Lepisosteus oculatus: one gene and its partners. The protein of the gene in region 3 binds, or shares a complex with, the protein of the main gene of each other region. Links are inferred from orthologs where the notes say so. Each region holds a gene or a part of one and is shown on either strand. Other genes may lie near its edges.

Region 1 (7,990 bases), on a different chromosome or scaffold from region 3:
AATAAACATCTTTGAGAAGCAGCATTTCATTACAGGGAAGCAGCAGCGAGGCTGGAGGCTTTCAGCAGCCCCCTGGGGATGACAACACCAGCCACAGACAGCAGCACACTGACCCCACTCTCACATGAACACTATGCACACAAAAGATGAGGGGGTGGGGGAGGAAGCTGGCTTATAACATCACTCCGACACTCTGTAAAACACGACGAAATTAAACGCAGGATGGCTTACAGGCCACTCCCACGACCTGAACGAGCAACACGGGTTTCGATCGATTTATCCAGAATAAATTGCAGAAGGATATGACATTGGGGGGGGGTTTCATGTCACACATCTCAAATATTTTAATTGTCAGATGTCCAGCCCTTCTGTGAGAGAGAGAGAGAAGCCAGCCAGGAGCCAGGTGGAGAGTGTGAGGGAGGAGAAGGGGCTGGGAGACTCCAAAAGACAGACGCACCACATGAAACACGTGGGCACAACCAGGCACTTCTGTAGCTCAAACATGCAGACTGGAGGCGCTGAGGCAGCTGCACATTTGGTGCACAGAGAACACAAGTGCGACAGCAGAACCGCAGCAACCGGAGAGAGTCGGACCCGGCCCCAGCCGGCGGGGAGCCCCTTGGACCGGTTTTAGTCAGGCCCAGATGTAGCCAACCACCGGGTTTGCGTCTGTACCTCAGAACAACCTTTAGAGGACAGTCAGGATCACGACAGTAACACCAATACCAAGCCAGCTAAGAGCAAGCATGGGCATCAAGGGCCTCCACACTGGAGTAACAACAGAAGTAGCCCCCTCCACCGGACATCACACAACAGCAACCTACCCCAGCCCTGCCTCTTTACAACACCAGACAGAAAGAGGGCCCACTGGACTTCCGAAGTGGAGTGTAAATTAAAGATTTGATTAAAAAAAGATGTCCATTTAGCAATGTTAAAAAAATCATACAATTTCACCTGCGAAAAACACATTTAAAAGGAGAGAGTGGGGGAGCACAGCCAGTCTCAATGAGGCGCCCTGCCGGAGAGCTGCGGACAGGTGACAGGTCAGAGACACTCCGCATGTACACCGCAAAACGCCACTTGGCCGGGCTTGACCACGGCGACGACCGACCAACCCGGCCAGCCAGCCAGCGAGGGGTGTGGGGTGGGGCTGCATGCTGATTCACAGCAAGTGACCTTCTGGGGGGGGCGCCGGTAACAACCACCCTCCACGTCCCGAACCGCAACGCCGACAGCTGCATGCAAATATCCGGAGAGCCCCCCACGCCACTCGCGGAGTGGGCTGGCCGCCCCAGCTGAGAGCCGCGTGAACAATGAAAGCGAAACCTTCAGAGATCTGCCCCCTCCGTCATCAAGGGCGCACAGATAACTCCCCCTTTTAAACAACAATTAAATAAAACAACACCTTCGTCCACTCAGCAGGGCCGTGGCAGCCCGTGAATCTGCACGAGCGGGCCCCAGGCCGGGACACCGCTGACCGTGGCGTGGATTCCCGCACAAGGGCAAGTGACCTAGAGCCGGGGCAGGAGACGACGCCCGGCGGTCATCATCATCATCATCAATTCCTGTTATTGTGATTACTGTGCTGACGATTAGTGCGCGGAGATCCAGACCCAGCCAGCCAGCCCAGGCTCTGCGCCTCAGTTTCAAGTTACACACCGCTCCTTGTTCTGCAAATGACTTACGAAACCCAAAGAAAAAGGCCGGACTCGCGTCAGCAGGCGAGATGCTGGTCCTGCCTGCTCGCAGCGGAGTTTCAACGTGGTGATGACGCATTTCAGTGACAGCTGTTTCACGACCTACCCTCCCTCCCCCCCGACAGCAGACAGCCAATTTCGCGCACACAACTACAGCCATACATACACACGGCGTGTAAATATACATGCATGTGTGCAAGCCCGTTGTAAGGCTCTTGCAATGCAATGCTCTTCCGAAAGAACCGATTTCTTTGCAAGCCAAGACTATATATATACACACACACACAACTCAGAAGATGTCGGCCGTCTCTCTCCCTCCCCAGACTCAAGTCCATGTATATGCACAGCTCAGGCTTCAAGCCTCGCACGGGTTTTTTTAAATCCCTTTAACCCAGCAAGCACATCGCGTCGCGTTTTTCCAATTTAAAAAAAGCCTTTTAAACGGCTTTGTTCTCCCCTCCCAATGAACCCCGACAAACTCGCACTCGTCCCCCTCCTCCACGGACGCTATTTTTGTTTTTCGCCACGATGGGATAATTATTTTTCAGACTACTTCAAGGAGTTTCGTTGAGGTTTTTTTTTTCTTTGCAACCTCCACATGGAAACAGACTCTTCTTTAAACAGACATCAGGAAGTTGCGAACAAGCAAACTAGTAGTAACCCTAACGCCCACGAAACACGTACAACTTCATCTAAAATATATCTATACACACACACACGTATCGCTGGAACTATGAAGTCCCAACAAAGGGAGCTACACGTCGTGAGGCCGTTTTCGGATCAGACACACGTATGTCTATATATCATCTTTTTTGTCCCCTTCGGAATTAAAAAGCCTCGCCCGGACCCACCACGACACACGAGCAGAGGATCGAAGGAAACGGAAAACACCTTCGCCGGCAGTGCAAGCCACAGACCGGAATTATTTAAAAAAAAAAAAAACAACAAGCAATTAGAGCCGAAAGATGAGACCGGCGAGCGGCAGCGGATTATACCGACGCTCACTCCTAATGGCTGCCGCCTCGCCTCACTTTCCCCGGCGCACACACGGGCCACCCCGGAGCCAGGGAAGAGGCGGGAGGAAAAGCGGGGACTCGGACTTACAAAGGGCAGGCTGCTCATTGAAATCCCGTGACAACCCCCGGAGAAAAGTGGACGTTTTACTGCCGTGACCGTTGGCTGCTGCTGCCGCCGCTGTTGTTGTCGTCGTCTGCTCCGAGCGCCGCGAGCGACCCAGCCAGCCTGCCTGCTTCCCTCCCTCTCGCGCTCGCTCGTTCCCTCCCCCCGGCGGGGAGGGGCTGCGCTCCACGTCACCCGCCGCGCCGGTGACGTACTACACACGTTAAAGCGACGGGGCGGCGCCGGCGGCCTGGGTGGCCCCAGCGCGAGGCGGGACCTCGCGTCCAAAGAAGGAAAGAAAGAAAAAGAAAACAAACAAACAAACAAAAGCGACGTAGAACATCAAACATAAAAATCACAACCACGCGGGGGAAAAAAAAGGGGCGTGTCACCTTACTGCAGCACGCTCGGTGTTGGAAAAGAAAAATTTTATTGCTGCGCTTTTAAAACTCCCGCCCTTAAAACTCGCTTGGATACAGAGGCTTTTAATCAGGTTTATTGCAGTTTGCAGTTTATTGCAGGCAGCTGTCTCTGTTGGTCTCCCTGTTGCCTTGTTTTATCGTGAAGCGCCTTCAGCTGATGAGTCATGGGTGTGTCAGAATGAACGACAGAGACCGCTTACATTTCTTCTTCATCAGGTGACTGAGGACAATAGCACCGATGTGTCACTCTGTGCAAGTGCACCGCGCACCCTATTTTCACTTACCTGTGCAACTTACACTGCGCTAATAATGCAGTGTATATATGGTAAAACGTTTGCATCAAGATCAATAAACTAGTTATTATAATTAGGTTGTCCCTCATGTGAAATAAAGCTGATGGTTTGAAATAATGGAGTTTTACTCGGCTTCGAGTGAAAGTAAAAGAGTTTGGATTCATTTCAATGGAAACTTTGTGTATTCCCACAATAACATCAAAATAAGCCCCCTTATTGTTTTAAGTTCCCAACAAGAATGCACACAGTATTTATTTGGAACCCTTTCCAATCTTTTTAGATGAGAATGAGAAAGGAAAACAATTATTTTAATCTAATTTGTTGAAAGCCTCTTGGTAATGGTTTGGCCAGGCTCTGTTTGATTTCGTATGTTAGGTTTTGGTGATATCTGGTGATATTATTTGCAATGCTGAAATGCAAGCATGGATCTTAACAAGTAGATATTAAGACATTGTAGACATGTCAGCTACTCCAGACAACATGTCTCTGGTTTGTGGGGGGAAATGGGAGAAGCCAGAGAAAACTCACATGGGGGGGTGGGGGGTGGGAGCTAGATGTTCTCCTAGGAAGAACATGCAAACTCCACCCATCTCGACTTCAACCCAGGACTGGGGGGCTGTGAGGCGCCAGGGCTATTTGCCCACTACACAACATCTTTTCTAGGACACTCTTGTGTCCCAAGAGCTTATGATACTGCCACCCACTGGGGGAAAATAAGTTATAACAAGCGAAAAAAATGAAACCCACTGTTCTGGATCCAATAGAATAAACCTTTCACAGGACATCACTTGCAAGGCACATCTGTGTTGGAATCTTGTTCGTCCCCAAATCATTGCATCATTTCTCATGACAAATACACCCCGTGTACGGGAGCCGATCGTTGGGAAATACTGTGCATGACTCTGAAGTGATACACTTGTACAGTATGTATACACTTGTACCCAGAGCTCAAACAGTCCTGTGCAGCGTGATTTAACCGCAGTCGGTTTTCATGAGTATTGTAGTCTTCTACAATGTGCACTGAAATTCAAATAAGATGGATATACAGTAAAATCCCATTCTTTTTTCGCATGCCTCAGTCAGTCATTTTTTTAAAGATATGATTTAGTCCCTGCATGCAAATTCTGCATGATTCAAACATGTCCTGCAGAATGCCTCTAGAATCTTTTATATTCTGGGGGTAAAATCTCTATCATATCCCAAAAGGCTTCTTCGGGATTCCATTATTTTTCCTGAAAAAGTCCTGCAGGATGTTCCCTGTGGGATATTTTCAGAGATCTACAAATATTTTGGCACTCTCCTGTAGGATCATATGTTTATTTATCATTTCTAGGTTTGAAGGCAGTCTGGAAGGATATTTTATGTGAGGGGAACATTTGGTGATTCAATCATTTTTTCCAGGCAAAACCAGTGAGTTAAGTCTCTTAAATTGTACTATTGCAATTCTGACTAGTTACCCTATTATAATACTACACCACACTAATGAAAATAATAATATAAGTAATAAGGAGACAAAACACATATACAAGATACTCTTTATTGATGTGGTATCAATACAATCAAGTACTGTAGTTTTAGTTTCAAAAGAAAAAAATCTTTTAAAATCACAAGAAAAACAGGAGTGCATTTTATACCCACTTCCTATTACAGACAGTGCATGTAATAGACAATTTCAAAGAAAAAACAAATATCCTATAGTTTGCTACATAGTACATTAGACAGAAAACAGAACTTACATAAAAGCAATCCTTCAAAATCAGCACCAAGGTGCACTGATTACTCATTTGAAAAATGTAGAGGCAGTCACATATCCTTTTAGCAAATACAGACTTTTTGATTTAGATATCCAGTTGTAGAATTGTTGTCATTATACAAGAAGAAACATAGTTTTACAATGTCTTGTTTTGTGCAAATGGTAATGCAATGGGCCAATTTTCTAATCCAAAAGAAAAAAATACAATATCCCTTAGGAATCTAAATAAGGCACTTTTTCTTAGCTGTATTTTCTAAAGTAGTCTTTCATTATATGAGCACTAAATACCTGCTTAAATTTGCTTTGTAACATTTACATACTTCCAGAGGGGGAAGTGACAAAAACACACAATACCATGCATCCTTCTTCATGACACCTGCTAAGAAATGGGTATGAGTAAGTTGTACAGCATGTCATTCTTGGAGTACACAAAATAAAGGAAAAACAAAAATAAAAATAAAAACCAGCATAAATAACAAGAACATGCCTTGCATTGTCTAGGAATGTCACAATAATGATCATTTACAAGCCTTTTTCGTTAACTGCAAAGTATACAACAGTGCGAGGGAGTGCAATTCGGAAATACTGGAAGGGAAATACTGTCGGACAAGCATGTATTTCTTTTAAATCAAGCTAACAGGCTTTAGAAGTTAAAGTAAATACAAAAAGAGTTAGAGCCGTATTTTTGGAACACGTATAGAGCTGAGTCTTGTGACTCGGCCACCACGGATTAGTTTTGACAGTATTATACACTTGCTTGACTCCGATCCATTAGAATGCACGCCCCGTTAGTTTAGATTGGTCGCGTTCCTTAAAAAAAAGAGTTTTTGTGAAGTTTTCCCGATGTTTGGAGGGCTGTACTTTTTTTTTTAAATCATAAGGCTCGCTTCACTGTTCAAAATCCACTTTACCGCTCACGGATTGTCCTTATAAGAACGTGGGAATCTGTTTGTTTCTTCCCCCACCACCTACAATCTATTGACTATAAACGCTTGGAAACCAGAGTCTACAGATGAAAAGATGGGGTGTAACTGAATCATTTTGGGAAGCACTCCCGTCAGTCCCGAAGCAATGCAGAGGGCTGTTGTTCTTCTCTCCAAGCTTCCTCTCACATTCTTCACTTTCATGTAAAAAGATGGTCGCGACCATCACATTGTCCCCTGTCATAATCAGCAAAAGAATACATTTGCAAGGAAGAAGGAAAACTCAACAGACATTCGCTAAAAACGTTCTATAGTACGGGGAAGTGTATTTAATAGCCTAGTTTCCATCTTACATCTCAATGGCACTAGATATGAAGTCAGAGGGATGGCGGACGAGAGGGGCCTGCGGTTCAAACAGCCTATTTGGTTTTCAGTAGCTAACTGATCCGAGACCCTCGAGCAGCTCTTTCTTGAGAGGATCTTGGCTTCGAACGCATGACTAGACATCTCACAACCCAGATATTCCTCAATGCACTGTAAACTACGCTGTAGCAAAGGGTCCTTAAATTAAGTATAGGCAATCCATTTAAGCGTTATTCACCAGCAACCTAAAAGGCGTCGACGTAGAGATTTTTCACTTTTTTTAAGCGATTACCATCTCTTTAATGGACCACAAATAAACGAAAATAAAGCTCGAAACCTAATACTGGAGTTCCCGGCAACACTGGACATGACAACGAAAGGATAAAAGCGATGGCGTTCCCCCTTGAAAAGTGCAGAAAACCTGCCTGATCTAGCTTCACCTTCCTCTAAAAAAAACCAAACTACTTTACCTCAGCTGCCGAAGCGCGTGTGCTGACGTCACAGGGTTCCCGCGGGAGCAGAGCCGCGGAAATGACTTCACCCCCTCCGGAGACTCGCCCGCGCGGAGGCTCGGTCCTGCGGTGTGAAGTCATTGCCCGCTGCTCAGAGAGGGGAGCAAGCGCGCTCCGATCCCAGCGGGAGCCGGGGTTGCTTCACGCACGACACAGACTGCTGTCGGCCCTCTCATCGAGACTTCGCTTTTCTACCGGCCGCCATGACACGAGCCAAGCGCGAGGATTTCGGTAACGTGCCGCGAAGCTGCGGGGGGACAGCACCGGAGTGTGCATTGTGCCTGGACATCACGCCTGGGAACAATCTAACTGCAGTTCACTTTATCCCATCACCCCATGGCAATGCCCACCTGCAGCGGTTTTACATTCGGTCATCATTGCGTGCGTGTGCATGTTTCTGTGATCCAGTTCCAAGTGATCCAAGGATAATTAAGGCACACGCCGTCATCCCTCTCTCAGGCCACTCTCGGTCTCGATCGGGGTCATTTCGCTGTTGCACAATCTCGACCTCCGGCCTCTGCGTCCAGGACAGAACCTGCAATCTCTTCGAGCCCTGTTGTCCCCCCCTTCGCCACTGAAGACACTACCAAGAGTACACTGGAGCTACAGCCATTGGGTTCTCCTGACACCTTCCAGCCAAGACAAGACTTTAGACTTCAAGGGAAAGAGGAGGAAGCCAAACATTGACTCAGAAGCCCTATCTTATCATCGCCCCCACATGAAAACATCTACACAAGCCAAACACTCAGGGCCATGTGGGTATTAGTCTGGACATGGTTTTAACGACCTAGTAGAAAACGTAGCACATATCAGTTTGCAAATTGAGACAAAAAATGCTAACTGTATTGACTCTTAACTCTCATGCCTTTGAAAATTGTAGGATGGTATTCTGTCTCTGCCAAAACAAA
Region 2 (7,823 bases), on a different chromosome or scaffold from region 3:
TTCTAAAATAATGCCCTTCATTTCAGTCAAAAGAAAACACAATATTCACTATGACAACTCTCCACGTTTACATTATACTACAGGTAAGAGGTGGCAATTTCCATTACTTTAAGAGGACGCCGCCAATTTGGTTCCAGTCACAGAAATGAAAGACGACCCTTTAAAATTAGGATGACTTCATACGAACAGCCCTGAATTAACTTTTTATAAATCTCAATACATTTGTTGTTTTTTTTAAGGAAGAAATACCGTATAAAACAGAACTGATTTTTAATTAAAGCATTTTACACACAAAAAAAGAGGTGAAATCCCAGCACTACGTTTGTCACTCCTGGACATAAACCTTCAATTTCATGAAAGACTGAATTCTCCTGTGTCACAAGTTCTGTTGCTGATAATTTGGACCTCTTTGGTTCAAATCACCCCATTCTTCTAAACCTCTCGTGAGACCTTCCAATTTAACATAAGGAACTACAATACACCAGGTCTTCCAAAATGACGTACTGGCTGTCGGAGATGAAAACAATCTTGCAACAAAAGAGTAATGTACGTTCATTTACATTGACATGAGTTTTTCTCCAAGCCTGTATGAAAAACAGGATGTGGTTGGTGAAAAACTGTAGTTTCTCATTTTGTGTGCTTTTCATTTAGAAGCCCCTGGAAACACCTGGTTACAGATACATTTGATCTGATTCTGTTCAAACAATATTTGACAAACGAAGGCACAGAGCACTGTGTAGTGGAAATGGCAATATTTCCTTTAACCACGATGAGGAGGACGTATTCTACCTTTGACTAGACAGGAAAGGCTGTTTCTTTATTTCCCTCCTAAAGTCTACATTTCACTCTTATTTTTAACCCGAACCCAGAGGAAGGTTTTTAGGATAGACCTAGGCTCCATGTTTGATTACTGAGAGAGGAGAGAAAAAGCCCACTGTGTAACCTGTTCCAGTCATTTGGAACCAGGAATCAATCTCAAAGTCCCAAACAATGTAAAACGGCAATCACCGAAAACTAATCACAAAGTTTAACGTTAACACAGGCCTATTTCTCTCTGTTAATCTCAGTGCTCTTGAATAATAACTGTTAAAGTCTGAGAAGATCTTTGGCCCACTTCATCCAAGGCACTGTACTACAACTACTTTAATTTTTTCCTAGTTCTAGAGAAACAAAACACTGCTGTATCTGGGACATGCAGTATAAGTCAGCCTATATAATAAGGTGCTAGCAAACATGTAAAAATATGAAGTGTTTTATATCTTTCATTTTTAAAATACATAACCACAAAGGAAAGCTCTAATTAAGGAATGTGTGCATTTTAAAAATACAGGTGGTTGTTGTGGGCACTCTCCTTAGTGGACTTGATTTTTTTAGAATTAAAATGCAATTAGTTAACAAATTAACATATTCAGAAGTCTGCAGAGCATTGTTTCTCTTCCTGGCATTTCAAACAACAAGATGATTTTCCTAGCTGAGACTGGGCACTTACATAGACTTACTTAAAATAGTTTGCAATGCAACAGTCAAAGCAAGTGTGGAAATCTATTATGACTGAAATAAATTGTATTAAAAGCATTCCCTTGTGGGAAAATGATAATCCATCATCCAATACTAACTAACTGTTTATCTGAAGACTTCAAATATAGGTGCCTTAAATATGATAAATTAACAAAATAACATTCTAATACCCATACAACAAAAAACTCCTTTTTCCATTTTCCTATCTGCAGTAGAAAAAGTGAGAATAGATCGACAATACTAAAATTTTCACTCGTTTTTATTGACATTATCCAACCGTAATTATCATTGTTCTCCCATTTTGTCATACTGAGAAACAGCTGTTACTCAAATTAATCTACCACTTGTTTACTTTTACAAAATCTACAATGAAACGTTTTAAACAGATTTAGAGTTTACCACATTAAAAAATATATAGGGCATGCTGTAATACAATATGTACGTCTGCTGTCTTTTGTTTTAATTGCTTTTTTCTTCTTTCTGGTAAAAGAGCTACAACAAGGTCTCAAAAATTAATTTTCTACTAACCTTGCCAACACCAAAGTCACACGCTTTCCATAAAAAGGAAAACGCCTTTATCTGTTTTTGTTGGGGAGGATTGTCGATTAACGTTTTAAAATATACAGCCGTTTAGACAGAAAATATTGTAAATTCTGTATTGTATTAGACCTACATCTCACCACACTGCCTTTATCTGTATTTCTCCCTACTGTAATAGACATCTCCATTGTTTCATCACAAACGGATTGAGATTCATCTTTCTACACTTGAAAGGCGAGCAATTTATATTGCAGCACATTTTTATGAATCTACCGGCTAATTAGCACTCATCTGTTAATTATAGTGGAGTCAGTGCAATAGCTTTATCGCCTGCAGACACCCTTTGTAATGAGCATTGCACGTTCTTTGTTTCCGGTAAGGACCCTTTCTTTGTAGGTTAAACGGTTCCTTTGACCTGAGTATTTCCAATTTCTCATTTTCAACATTGTCCTTTCCTGGATCGGTGCAGATAACGTGGAGAATCTATATTGGCTAAATTATTTTCATCATTCCCTTAAACCTGTTGCCTTCACCCCCCAGCACGCCGGATTCAAACCAAGCAGTCGGATGTGTTGTTTTAACAATCGGTAAAAAAAAAAAGACATTTGCACATCGCATTCACCGGAACATACAAGAACCATCTTCTCGGAAGAAGACATGCAAAAGTACATTTTCTGCATATACAATACTGGCCCTGAATCAAATCCGAGCAGCCACGATCTGCTCGTCCGAGACTCAGAGCCAGGTATTCACACTCCCTTCTTTCCTCCAGGAGAGGAGATCTTCCTACTCACCAATGCCAAATACGGAAAACGTCTTTTCTTTTCTTCCTCCCCACCAAAATACTCTCCCTTCTATTTTAAATTGTGCATTCAGACATACTACACAATATCGCATGAGCTAGTCATAGGGCAGCATAGCGAAACTCGGTCCATGTGATTTCAGAAGCAAAATTACATTTTTGTCCCTCCTCCCGTCTCCATGGGGACGCGCTTTGTCATCATGCTGCGTAGTTGCAAAGAGCAGTGTTGGGCGGACTCAAGAAATTGGCGGCGGGATTAAACGTCTGGTGAAATAGCGGTTTCCTCGGCAGTTCGTCCCAAAACAGCATTATTGGGAGCTATTTTATTCTCGGGTGTTTACAATACTCCAAGACAATTCACTATTCATTTTGAACGTGTGAGCCAAATTGTCTTTTAAGGCCATTTTAACGAGATCGGTGCTCTTGAGGGAGATATAACTCGGAGTAATATTGCGGAATTAAATATATGTATATATCGGTTCTTGAGGATGAAAATGATGCAAATATTCAAGACAAAATTAATTCTGCGAAAGGTTAATTAACTCAGGCGTCTACCAAACTACTCGTGATTAGGAGACGCTTCTTAACATCTAAGATGTAATTACACAGTAGCAGCACACAAAGGAAAAAGGGAAAATAAAAGTTTAGCGGAATAAGCAAGATGCAGAGGATTTATTGGTAATGACAATTAAATTCACAACGCTCCGATAATCAGATTAAAATTGAAACAAGCACAAACGCACAAATTTACTTTCCAATCAAGGTTATAGCAAACACTATCTTACACGGATTTCTTCCGATGAATATTTAAACCCAGTGCTAATATACGTTACCTAATTACATAACACTACAAGGTTAATGGAAAAAATGAACTCAATTTAAAATCCAAATGCATTGAACACTGAAAATTTAACAAATACGTCAAAGAGGTCATAAGATGATTGAACTGGGAAAACAGTTGAAAATAAAATGCAACAAAACTTAAAGATTAGACCAGAAAAAGCAGAATGTGGCAATAAATGGAGACGATGTAACCATAGTCAAAAGCCCCAAAGTTATTGTCAAGAAAAATGAATGCCAAAAAAGAGCTCTTAACAACAATATAGTGCAAATGAAGATCAAACAGATTTCACCTGGTCACGGATGAAGTACTGGATGTTTTTTTTTTTTCTGGAAGGAGTAAAACATGCAGTCAAGCAAATATAGAATAGGAAATTACTGACGGATGAAGTATTGAGTGGCGTTATAAAAAGAAGAGGACTACTGTATAAAGACACATTGGCACAGGTTTCTACTAAGTGTATGGGGGAAAACAGGGGATCACTGTTGTGATACCTTTACACAAAAATTGATCACCACCTTGTAAATCTCCAGGATTACTTTCTTTTTAAATTAAACACCCGCCCCCAACTGCAGTATCCAGTTCAGGGAATAAGCAGAGAATTCCAGAGAATTGAATAAGTACCATGGACCGCCCTTCAAACACGAAGAATGGGTTGTAGTTTTGAACTCCAGATTTATTGATTAGAAGTATTTTGTAAGGATCTCTAAAGCATGAAAGTACTGAGAAAACTACACTGATCTAGTCAGTATCATTTATTATTACAGAGGTGCCAAAGCTGCACAAGGGGTTAGGGCTAAGGATAGAGAAAGATGATAAACCCTTTTACAGCCACAATGGAGTGCTTTAAGATGCTTGATTGGGAAGACAGGCCAGAACATTAATAGAGCCACTTTAAATGCAAACTTCAATATAGTGTCATATATTTCTATAGTGTAATATAGAAACTTCATAATAGAGTCATAAAATCCAGAAGGATTAGTAATACAATTAAAGTGTAGTGTACACAGTATGAAAATGGTTTTAAGCTACTGTTACATGCAACTCATCAGGTCAGAACTTTTATACTGTGATCTGTTACACTGGAAACAGTGGAACTAATTCAGTGCTGAATTCATCCAAAATGATATAAAATGAAATTAAAAGGTATACATATACCAACACACATACACACTTCAAAGATAATAACTAGAAGAATTTAGTTATAAATGGTATTAATTGACCACTACACCTCACATATTAAAAATGTACACATAATGTCTGCATTCCAATGTACATTTTCAATAAATAAAAAGATTTTTAATAAAATGACTCTCATCCAGATAATGACATTGAATCAGAATTAGCCAGGGAATGATCTTTTATGATGATCCCTTCATTACTTTTATGAGGCTTCAGAGTCTGTCAGCAGAGCCTAATGAGGCCTTAAATCAGCCACCAAAATGAAATTCAAACACTTGTTAATTAATACCCCTTCCAGCTGCCTAAGTAATGTAAAGCATTCTAGCCAGGACTACCTTCACACTCATGCTATAATACTTAATGTCTGTTTTCCCCGTTATGTAACTCCAGAAGCTGCAACATATGTTAGAAACTTAAGTTTTGCTTTACAATTTAGCGTTATTTAATTTTTTCCCCCCCATCACTTTAGTTAAAACTGTCTATAACCTTTTAAGGAATCAAGTGTTTATACTTGCCCAGTTTGGTATTTTTAGTATATGGAAGGAAATACTTTGATTCATTTCTGTTCAGTTTCTTGTTTTATCCTTCAAGGGTTGCATTAAGCCTGAACATAACCTGGCAGTCACAAGACCACAAGAAATGACTCCTTCTCCACACAGTCACACCAAATTGTCCCTGTGCTAATTAACTTGGAAAGCAGGTATTTGGAATGTGAGGAGGCACCTGGAAAAAACCCTTGTGTTGGCACCTTCATCCTTCAAACTCCACAAAAAGGTCAGAACTGGACCCAGGATCCAAGAGCCACGAGAGACCAGTGCCAAGCACCCTGCCACCAGTGGCAGGGAATTAATCTGTAAGCAATGAAAACAATGCTGGGAGACCTGAATTGGCGCATAGTGCAAATCACATGACCACATCACTTTCAATAGCCACTCATCCAATTCAGACTCACAGTGTCCAAGTGCCTGTCCCAGCATGCACTGGGCACAAGGTGGGGTACACCCTGAACGGCACACAGAAACGCACACACTCACTCCATGTTTACAGAAACCAATTAACCCTTCAGTATGTCTCTAGACTGTGGGAGAAAGCTGGAGCAACTGGACAAAACATGCAAACACTGGGAGAACATGCAAATCTCATGCACAATAGCACCCCAAGACCACAATGCCACCCCATTGTTGCTTAACTACTGAAGTTTATCACAGAATGTTAGGGATCTCAAGGAGCTGGGTAAACATGATCAAAATCACTTGAATTTGTCACTTTGGTAGAATATCAATATTAAAAGACATGATAATTATTGAATTACAGTTATAAAGAGAACATTGTATCTTAGGGACTTATATTTGTGCATTATAAATCCTATACAGCAGTGTGAAATAGTGGTTAGGTTTCCTGAATGGTATTAGGCCCACATCCTGAGTGAGGCATTGGTGTTTGACTAGAATTTCACTCAGATTCCTCCAAAAAATATTAAGATAAATATGTACAAATTTAAGACCCTTTGGAATTTGAAAGTCACCAGCCACATAAGACCCAGGTATTTTTTTTTACTTTGGACTGTCTGCATCTATAAAAACGTAGCTGTAGTGGAATCCATGTTCAAATTAGATCAGTAATTTTTCAGTATAACATTGACTCACAAATTAATAAAGATCAGAGCAAATCAGAAACATGGTAGTGCTTGAGAAGATACTGAACAGTAAATTTAGTTTATTACTCACATCCACCAGTGAAGTAGTGCCATCTAGTGTCTGTTGCACCTGAATATCTAAATGTATTCACATATCAAAGTATGCAGTATATATATATATCCTCATTATATCTTTAACTTGTTTTCATTATTGGGTGGAATTCTGGTGTAACCCAAAGCTCATAGCATAATCAGTTTTTCTTTTTATGAACAAAGTATATGCATTTAATTCTTAATAAAACTAATCTGCACAAGGATTTGTATTGATCTTGTTTTAGTACAGGGGGTTTCATTTATGGATGCTCACATGAGAGAAATTTAAAGCAACATTCAGCCTAGGATGTGAAAAACGTGGTTTATTTTCCCATGTGCCAGAGGTGTAACATTAAAAATCTTGTAAACTCTCATCTTCAGAAATATCCAATAGAAACTGAAAGGGAAGACAAATTTCACTCAAACGGTTCCGATTAAACATGCCCTAACATCTCCTAAAACTATATGCTTAGGTCAGCTGCGTTTTCTCATGTATTAATGTAGTTTATCTAATAAAAAAAAACATAAGTTTTTTGTCTTAACACAAACAGTGCTCGTCTCACCAGACCAAAACTAAAAGTTTCCAAATTGCAATTTGTTTGATATAACAAAATACAAAACATATATACAAATAAATAAGAAGCTTTGTTTCACTTCTATTACACTGGAATACTGAATATACTGTTACAGTATCTATTTCTTTTCTAACCACTTTATCCATTATAGGTTTGCAGGGGAGCCAGAGCCTGTTCTCAGCATGTAATGTGCGCCAGGCAGACAAACACACACTCACACCAGGGCCACTTTCCCCAGATAAAAATTAACCTGCCACTGTGGGATGAAACCGACACGAACACGAGGAGAACATACAGACTCCACACAGATAGCGTCCCAGGAACTGAACACAGAGCTCCAGAGCGGAGGCAACAATGTAAACCATTGCACCACTGTACATTCTGGTATATATTCATTATATTTTGCCTATATTTAAGATTCATTGCTGTAGCACCTTAATTAGGAATTTGCCTCAGTGTCCTAACATTTAAAAGCATTAAACACAACCTAACATAAAACCATAAGGTAACAAAGAATCTCATACAATATTCAAATAAAATGAAATAACTGGTGTATTAAAGGAGTTTATATTTACATTGTCAATAGTCATAAGATACTAATGTGTAATTGGAAAGCTGTTCAGTATCTATACATTG
Region 3 (7,599 bases):
TCCAGTCAAAGACTTTGAATAACGATGTGCATTCATTAAAGTGCTTAAACGAGCACTGAAAACCAGTAGGCCCTGTGCGAACAGTGTCAGTATGCCAGTGCTAGGACATCGGCTTTTCTTGCCTGTCCTCCTGTTGTGTAAACTGCTCTGGGCTGGAGGGGAAGAGAAGCCAGTGGAACAGCTGTCTCAGCCCTGACCTGTTGCCCACCCGTTCTCTCTGCCAAAGAATCTGGCCTAGTTTTGCAAAACCAAATTAGCTATGTATAGGTACAGTATTTCCCCTTCAGGAAACAACATGAATGATTAACATTCCTCCTGTTTTGTTAAACATGAATGATGGTAATGTTTTATCCAGATTAAAGTGTTTGTGGCACACAGTTTATGAGTGATGACAATTCTCAGTACTGTTACCTTTGTATTTCAGAACACCGTGTCAATAACTGTGACGAACAATCGTATTTTGTGATTACAAATGCTGTTTTTTATTTTTATGTGGGTGGGGGGGGGTGAGGAGAGGTATTTGAAGTTGACATTTTCTCCCCTCTGTTACTTTGGCATGCTTTAAATAATGTGTACATATTGTTTTATAATTGCTGTCTTAACACATTTTGAAGAAGAAAAGTTTATTAATAAACGTGATATATTTCTCTATTAATATTCGATTGTGTTTCTTACGTCTGTCTCTGCTGCTATCTTGCACCCTTGGCTATCAGGAAAGAGCACCCAGATAACAGGGTGGTACAGTATGAATAGGAGGGCTCCGGTTACATGGAAAACTCCAGTTCACTCACTGTGCAGACCTCAGTGCCCTGTCTGTTTCACTGCAGAAGCAGAAAATGAAATTCAAAAAGCCTCAGATAAAATTCACCCCTGGGCCAACACCTGCCCGATGATGCTGAATGTAGACAAGTGGGGGGGTTTTGCAAGCAGATAGTAAAACTCTACAGAGCTACAATAGAAAAGGCTATGAAACAGGCATAGATGTTCATGTTGACACATCATCCACATCTTCTAGTCTCTAGACAATGTGGGGAAGCAATTAAAAAGGCGAGATAAAGTTCGTATTTTTAGCAAAAACAGAGAATTGAAATCAAGGGATGTTATGCTAAAATTGTATAACATAAAATCAGACGTCATTTAGAATATTATGCTAATATTAAACTGATGTCAAATTTTAGTTGCCATGTTATAAAGAGGTTGTTGCTGCACTGAATCTGTCCAGAGAAGAGCAACCAGATACATTTATCTGTATTTAAAACTGAGAACAGGAGGGACTACTTTACCCAAAGGGTGGTGGGAGCGTACAGCAAGCGGCCCAGCCTGCACTGGCTGAGGCTCATATGTTCAGTTTCAAATTCAAACAGCTTTATTAGCATGACCGATGAGTTACAGTGTTGCCAAAGCAAGTACGACCGACACGACATCTAGAGACATTTACAATACAAACACATTGTAGGACATGTACGTACAACAAGCAGCACATAGAGCATGACTGGGAGACAGGCTCACCCTCTGTTCCTCAGCCAGCTCTGTTGAGTTGAGGTGCAGGAATTCTGGGATTAGATTTATTTGGGGGAAGAACGTTTGTCTGATCCCTGAGTGTTTCTCACAGCGCAGTTGAAAGTACATCTCTGTCTCTATTTCTCCCAGCTGGCAGTGGGAGCACAGCCTGTTCTTTCTGGGCAGCCAGGTCTGTCTTTGTTGCCCAGTTACTATGGCCAGATTGTGGTCACTCATATGGCCTCTTTCTGGCCAGTGATCATGAGGCGATGGGTAAGTGGGGTTGGTGTATCCAACTGCATGCAGATGACCAGGTGTCACAGTCCTCTGTCCCTCCTTCCTGTGTCCTTCATCTGTCCTCGCTGGCCCAGAGGTCCAGTCCCAACCTGGTCAGCACCCGCACACTGTCTCACGCGTCGGCTCTGATCGTGTGGTAACCAACGGGTGTCCAGGCGAACTGCATCACTTAATCTGTGCAGATTGTCGTCTGCTGTCCAGTTTGCGCTAGGGTCAAACCCTGACAAAACACATATGTGTAACTTAAGTAAACAACCCCCCCAAACCGCTCTCCTACAACAACTTTTGTCACCCCGCGGCAACCGCAGTATCAAAGAAAAAACTCTGTGGTATTAAAGGTGTCGCATGATTTGTACAAGCAGGGAAACGGCACAATAAATCCAGGTTTTCTCGGAACTGATGAGGACCCAGTCACAATACGTGATGTTTTGGTTGCGGGTGTTTGTGTAAAAACAAAACCCGGTCTGGCCTGAGAAGTAGCCAGGCAACGCGCTGAAGACAATCCACGCCACGGGATACAAACGGTGAGCGATTCACGCGTGGGTTGCGGTGTCAAACGGCATCCTTCCTCGGCGACGTCTGTTGTTGCTGCTGTGTGAAGTAAATGTTGTCATTGTCCCAGCGTTAGGCAGAGCCATCAGCGCTGCCAGAGTTATTTTCTCCTGTGGCCATGACTGACTCCGGCTGCTTCTGCGGACCCTTCGTGCAGCGCTGTAGTATTTTCTTACTTCTGTTGCCGAACAAGCGCCGTATCAATTCAGTATCCCCCCCGATACCCATGAAAGTCTTTCCACCATCCGCGTGATTTTTTTCATCATCCACATACAGTATATATGACGCATATGTAACAGATAAGGACAAAACATGCCCTTGCGTGCCTTCTTTGGGGCTCACCTGTCTTGTGTAGAGATGAAGTAAACCTTCATTCCGGTCATTTTTTACATTACTCAAATCACGACCAAAAACGTCCCCGTCGATATCATTAGTTTTTAGAAAGTTATGCGGAGCGCATTTCGGAAGGGAATACACAAGATTGGTGTATCCACGGGTTGCCGAATTGGATACGACATCTGTGTCACGGCTTCAAAGAGGCTACACGACGCTATGAAAGATTCATATTAGTTTATGACTGTTCAATACACAGACGTAAAAAAGTAAATATATGCGCAATAATACAGAATGTTTATCATAGAAGTGTTCGTAGTATGTTTTAGGGATAGAGTCGGGTTTTGACTTGAGATGTCATTGGAAATACTTCTTGACCGGACTTGTCTTATGGAAACAAAGATGTTATAAAGCGCCGTGAGAGGCATTATATGTTGCCTCTGTGAAGATGTAACTATCTTATTTATTTTTTTTTGTCTTCCAGCCTATATAATCAGGGTTTTAGGACTTTTTCTCCCTGTTACAGTCTAGAGCTACTCGGCTCTGGTAATGTCTGAGTGCCCTCTCTGAGTTAAGAATTGTGCGCCACAGGCCTTGAAACTATTAACCCAGCGAACATCGCAGCGCCTCAAGGTGGTAACATGGGTTAGTGTTTTAAGCCGTAATGATAGTTTTCGGAAGACTGAGTAGGGAGTTATGTATGCGAAAGTTGTAAACGTCACCGTCTGCCTTGCAGTTTACGGAACATTTCCATTTACCACGGGATTTAAATTTAATTTGCAAGCATAATATAGAGTACATCACATTATCCAGCTTCAATAACACGAACAATGTGGTCAGCAATAACGGCGTTTGGGGAAGGGAACCGCAACTAAATGTCGCAAGAAATTGAAAATGGGAATCATTTCCAGTATCCGTAGTAACGGTGCAGCGTATCAAAGACAAAGAGTTGCAAAATATTTTAAAATGTTTGTTTTTTTTTTACCCCTCAATGAAATTAGCCTAATCAATAATGGTGATGATCGTACCTTTATAAAACAGAGATGTAGTTCATGAACACTCCACTAAAAATGTTTCCATTATAAAAACATCAAGTGACTTTGAGATACTTTGTACGATCTCCGTTGGGAGTCGGCAGCTCCAGTACTACAAAACTGGTTCTCCCAACTCGTCAAATATCTCTACTAAAACTTCCAAACACCCCTTTCCTAAATCTTTTAATAATAATAATGTAACGCTTACGGCCGACAGGCACTGTGTAAGAGCCGGCGTACCAGAGCAGGTGATGTCACCGCCCTTCCCTGTGATAGCAGGACCACAGCTACTGGGCTGGGGAGAGATCTCTCTTTGGCTCACGGGGCTAGGTCGCTGCAGAGAGACGAAGGAGTCCCGGGTTCGAGCCCCGGACGGTGCCGGGGCCGAACAGATGCGGCAAGGGCGCCCGCCTGAGCCCCCGTTGCGTTACAATAATATTAATAATTGCTTACACTTATATAGCGCTTTTCTGGACACTCCTCAAAGCGCTTTACAGGTAATGGGGACTCCCCTCCACCACCACCAATGTGCAGCATCCACCCATGTAATATTCAGTACATGATACAGCATCAGAAGGGCTGCGTTCTGCACGGTCATGCATGAAAATGAAAACTGACTTCCTTACAGATTGCATCTGCAAAAAGAAGTCAGATGGGGAGGATTAAAACTCTGAGATCTCTTTGCCAAACCGTGGACCAGGACCTCGCAGATGAACGGGCAAAACAGCTCAGAAGGGCGTCTGCGACGCAAACGTAGAAATCAAGATCGCTAAACGAACCGAGAGCTCGTTCCTGGCCTGTTGTAGTATGTGTCCTAACTTGTGTTTAAATGTTCATGAAAGTTGCGTTTTTATTTCTGGAAATAATTATGGAAAACAGATGAAGATTGATTTTTTTTAAAAAAAGCACACAAGAAAAACACACGCCGCGCCTTTAAATGCAGGATCCAAGCTTGACCCCGAGACTGCAGCAACACGACTTGTTTACAACACAGCGACACCGAACTTGACAAAGGGAGGAGGGTGCAGAATGCCCTTTCCCTGTTTCTATTGGTCGTCAAAATTCCTTCTGTCTTTCTATTGGTTTTCAGTTTTCCATCTTCCTCTCATTGGCTGTTGTTAGCAAGCGTGTCAAAGGAATTGAAGTCCGGGTGCCATTGTGGCTCAAACAGTGAAGGAGTGAGTCGTTTGTCCGCTGTCGGAGATTTCGGATCCAAAATGGTGATAAAAATGAAAGAGTTCCACAAAATAAGATGTGCTTCTTGACGAATCTTCCTCTGGACTGATACGGTGTAACGCCGAGATGGTGTCACATGACTCGCACAGAGCCCAGCTGCCCAATTCCAATATGGTGGCCAGCTTGGCAGGCTTAAGTTTCTCGTTGATTAATTTGTTCCTCTGCGGGTTGGGGTTCGGCGCCTGCAGCCAACAAGCTCCGCGGGTGTTGGGGCTGAGGCTGGAGGACCCGGGGGCGCTGGTGTTCATGCGCCACCGGGTCATAACAGCACATTACGGAGCTACTTTCCAGCTGAGGCTCTTCGGGTCTTACCTGCTTAATGAGACCTGGCCGTGGGTTGCGTTCGCGGAGGAAGCAGAAGGGGAGGATGGCGGTGCCACCGACCCGTGCAAAGACGAGAGCGGACGGAGCTCGGCTCTCTTTCAACTCCGGGGGCCATTTCTAGAGGCCGAGGAGCACAGCGCCCTAATAACCGTGCAGGCTGCAGAAAGCAGCAGCATCTCCGGTGAGCACGCCAGGAGTTCTTATCATCGCTTGTGCGCCCGGGACGGCGTCAGATGGGTTACGGCTGGCCAGGATAGGCTGGTTCTAGCAGACGACCCGCAGCCCGATTTCATCCCGGTCTGGGGTTTGGCTTTGGCCATCGTCCTCCTGCTCTTCGCCTGCGCCCTGTTCCAGATTCTGAAGCTGAGCCTGCTGGGGCTGGACCCGCTGGAACTGTACGTGCTGCACACCTGCGGGTCCGAGCGGGAGAAGAAAACGGCGAAGCGGCTGGAGCCCCTGCGCCGGCGGGGTAACTTTCTCCTGTGCTCGCTGCTCTTTCTGTGCGCCCTGGGCTACTCCGCTCTCGGCGTGCTCTTCTACCGAGCCCTGGGCGCCCTGCTCCCCGCCGTCTTCCTCTGCGGGCTCCTGGTGTTCGTCATCAGCGGGCTGCTGCCTCACGTTCTGTGCTCCGGCTGCGGGTTCCAGCTGGCCCCGGGGGTGGCGTGGCTGGGGCAGGCGTGCATGGTCCTGACCTGCCCGCTGTCCTGCCCCCTGGGGCTCCTGCTGGACCTGGCACTGGGCAGGGACGTCAGCTCGTGCCACGTGCGGGAGAAGGTCATGGAGATGATGAGGACCAGCGACCCCTACAACGAGTTCGTGAAGGAGGAGTTCAGCCGGGGGGCGCTGCGGACCAAGACGGTGGAGGACATCCTGACGCCCCTGAAGGACTGCTTCATGCTGTCCTCCGGCGCTGTGCTGGACTTCAACACCATGTCCGAGATCATGCAGAGCGGCTACACCCGGGTGCCCATCTACGAGGACGAGCGCTCCAACATCGTGGACATCCTGTACCTCAAGGACCTGGCCCTGGTGGACCCGGAGGACCGCACGCCCATGAGCACCATCACCAAGTTCTACAACCACCCGCTGCACTTCGTCTTCAACGACACCAAGCTGGACGCCATGCTGGAGGAGTTCAAGAAAGGTAGGGTTGCCGCTGTGCACCCTCTGGGTCCGCCCGCCCGGCGCCCCCTGCAGTCTGGGAGGGCAGCAGCAAGGTAGAATCCGGGCCAGCCAGCCAACGCCAAGGCCTCGAGGACAGAGTGGCGGGGATTGAAACTCTCTAGCGTGGACCCCGGGCAGTAGCGTAGGCACTCAGAAGGCCTGTCCGCCTTGTGTCCAGTAAGCGCAGTGAGCAGGTTGCATCACCAGGCTTCACTCGTGCAGCACAGTGGTGAGAGTTGCAGAACTATCTGGCTGCCAGCTGAGGGGGGGTCACAGGTGCAGCCTGTCTGATTCAGGTCTGATCCCTGTGGGTCACTCCTCCCCCCTTTGAGATTGTGATGGAGAATGAATGGGGTTCAGGCCCGACTCGGGAGCGGAACCTCGTAGAACGTTACGATCGCACGCCACAGCCACTAACTCCCACTCTGCCTAGTCTACTGATTGGGCCAGGATAGCGATTGCTTGCTCTTGTAACCATGCTAGACCTTCCTTGGAGGATGTCTGTCAAGTAATCGTGGGACTCCTGCCTTAGGGGGTGGCACGGTGCGCAGCGCTGGGGCCCTGGGTTCCACTTCTGGGTTGCTGTCTGCGTGGAGTTTGTATGTCCCCCTCAAACTGGTCTTGGGGGTTTTCTCCAGGTGCTCTGGTTTCCTCTCGCAGTCCAAAGACATACTGGTAGATTCATTGGCTTCTGGGAAGATTGACCCTGGTGTGAGTGTGTGTGCCCTGTGATGGACTGGTGTCCTGTCCAGGGAGTATCCTGCCTTGTGCCCATTGCTTGCTGGGATAGACTTTGGCTCCCCCTTGACCCTGTATAGGATAAAGTGGTTAGAAAATGTGTGGATTGTTGTGCAGAGTTTAGGTCATTGCTGTATGGTTTTACCTTTGCTGAAGTCTGTGTTTTTACTATACAGTATGTTGATCTATGAAGGCCAACATTAAGATCCGTTTGTCCCCTCACGGGCAGTTTTTGCTGTTGATGAGAACGGATGCTCAGTCTGTGGTTTTACTAGTATTCACCATGTTGTGCTTTTCAGTAATTTGTTTGAAAAATATCAATGTCAAAATCTGTTCTTAATGAGCTGGCACTGTGCAATCGATTCATACCTTGCAGGCGCTGCTGGTCTAGAGTTTCAACGACAGGTGTCGATCGCTGCCC

What was found. Proteins that work in one complex are often made in the same cells at the same time.
Region 1: the proteins of metal transporter CNNM3 (region 3) and ptp4a2b are in contact, whole or in part, in a crystal structure (PDB 5K25), measured with the Homo sapiens proteins. The link is inferred for Lepisosteus oculatus from reciprocal best matches to the Homo sapiens genes CNNM3 and PTP4A2. Residues at the interface, in NP_060093.3 of Homo sapiens: Leu390, His391, Phe392, Val393, Phe394, Asp396, Thr397, Glu405, Ala414, Gln417, Val419, Glu424, Gly425, Asp426, Pro427, Phe428, Tyr429; in NP_001356788.1 of Homo sapiens: Met1, Asn2, Arg3, Pro4, Asp69, Gly70, Cys101, Ala103, Leu105, Gly106, Arg107, Arg134, Arg135, Gly136, Ala137, Phe138, Asn139, Lys141, Gln142.
Region 2: the proteins of metal transporter CNNM3 (region 3) and ptp4a3b are in contact, whole or in part, in a crystal structure (PDB 5TSR), measured with the Homo sapiens proteins. The link is inferred for Lepisosteus oculatus from reciprocal best matches to the Homo sapiens genes CNNM3 and PTP4A3. Residues at the interface, in NP_060093.3 of Homo sapiens: Ser357, Asn358, Phe394, Asp396, Lys418, Val419, Asn421, Glu424, Gly425, Asp426, Pro427, Phe428, Tyr429; in NP_001425170.1 of Homo sapiens: Asn5, Pro7, Asp72, Gly73, Ala74, Val105, Ala106, Leu108, Gly109, Arg110, Arg137, Arg138, Gly139, Ala140, Ile141, Asn142, Lys144, Gln145.

What each region holds. Positions count from the first base shown.
Region 1 is NC_090706.1:1,404,795-1,412,784, forward strand, and holds the start of ptp4a2b (protein tyrosine phosphatase type IVA 2), read right to left. Parts: upstream 3,002-7,990; 5' UTR 2,802-3,001; intron 1-2,801.
Region 2 is NC_090705.1:32,846,884-32,854,706, reverse strand, and holds the start of ptp4a3b (protein tyrosine phosphatase type IVA 3), read right to left. Parts: upstream 3,002-7,823; 5' UTR 2,853-3,001; intron 2,136-2,852; exon of another isoform or gene 2,047-2,135; intron 1-2,046. UniProt on the Homo sapiens protein: Protein tyrosine phosphatase which stimulates progression from G1 into S phase during mitosis. Enhances cell proliferation, cell motility and invasive activity, and promotes cancer metastasis.
Region 3 is NC_090697.1:69,772,903-69,780,501, forward strand, and holds the start of metal transporter CNNM3, read left to right. Parts: upstream 1-4,594; 5' UTR 4,595-5,018; coding exon 5,019-6,420; intron 6,421-7,599. UniProt on the Homo sapiens protein: Probable metal transporter.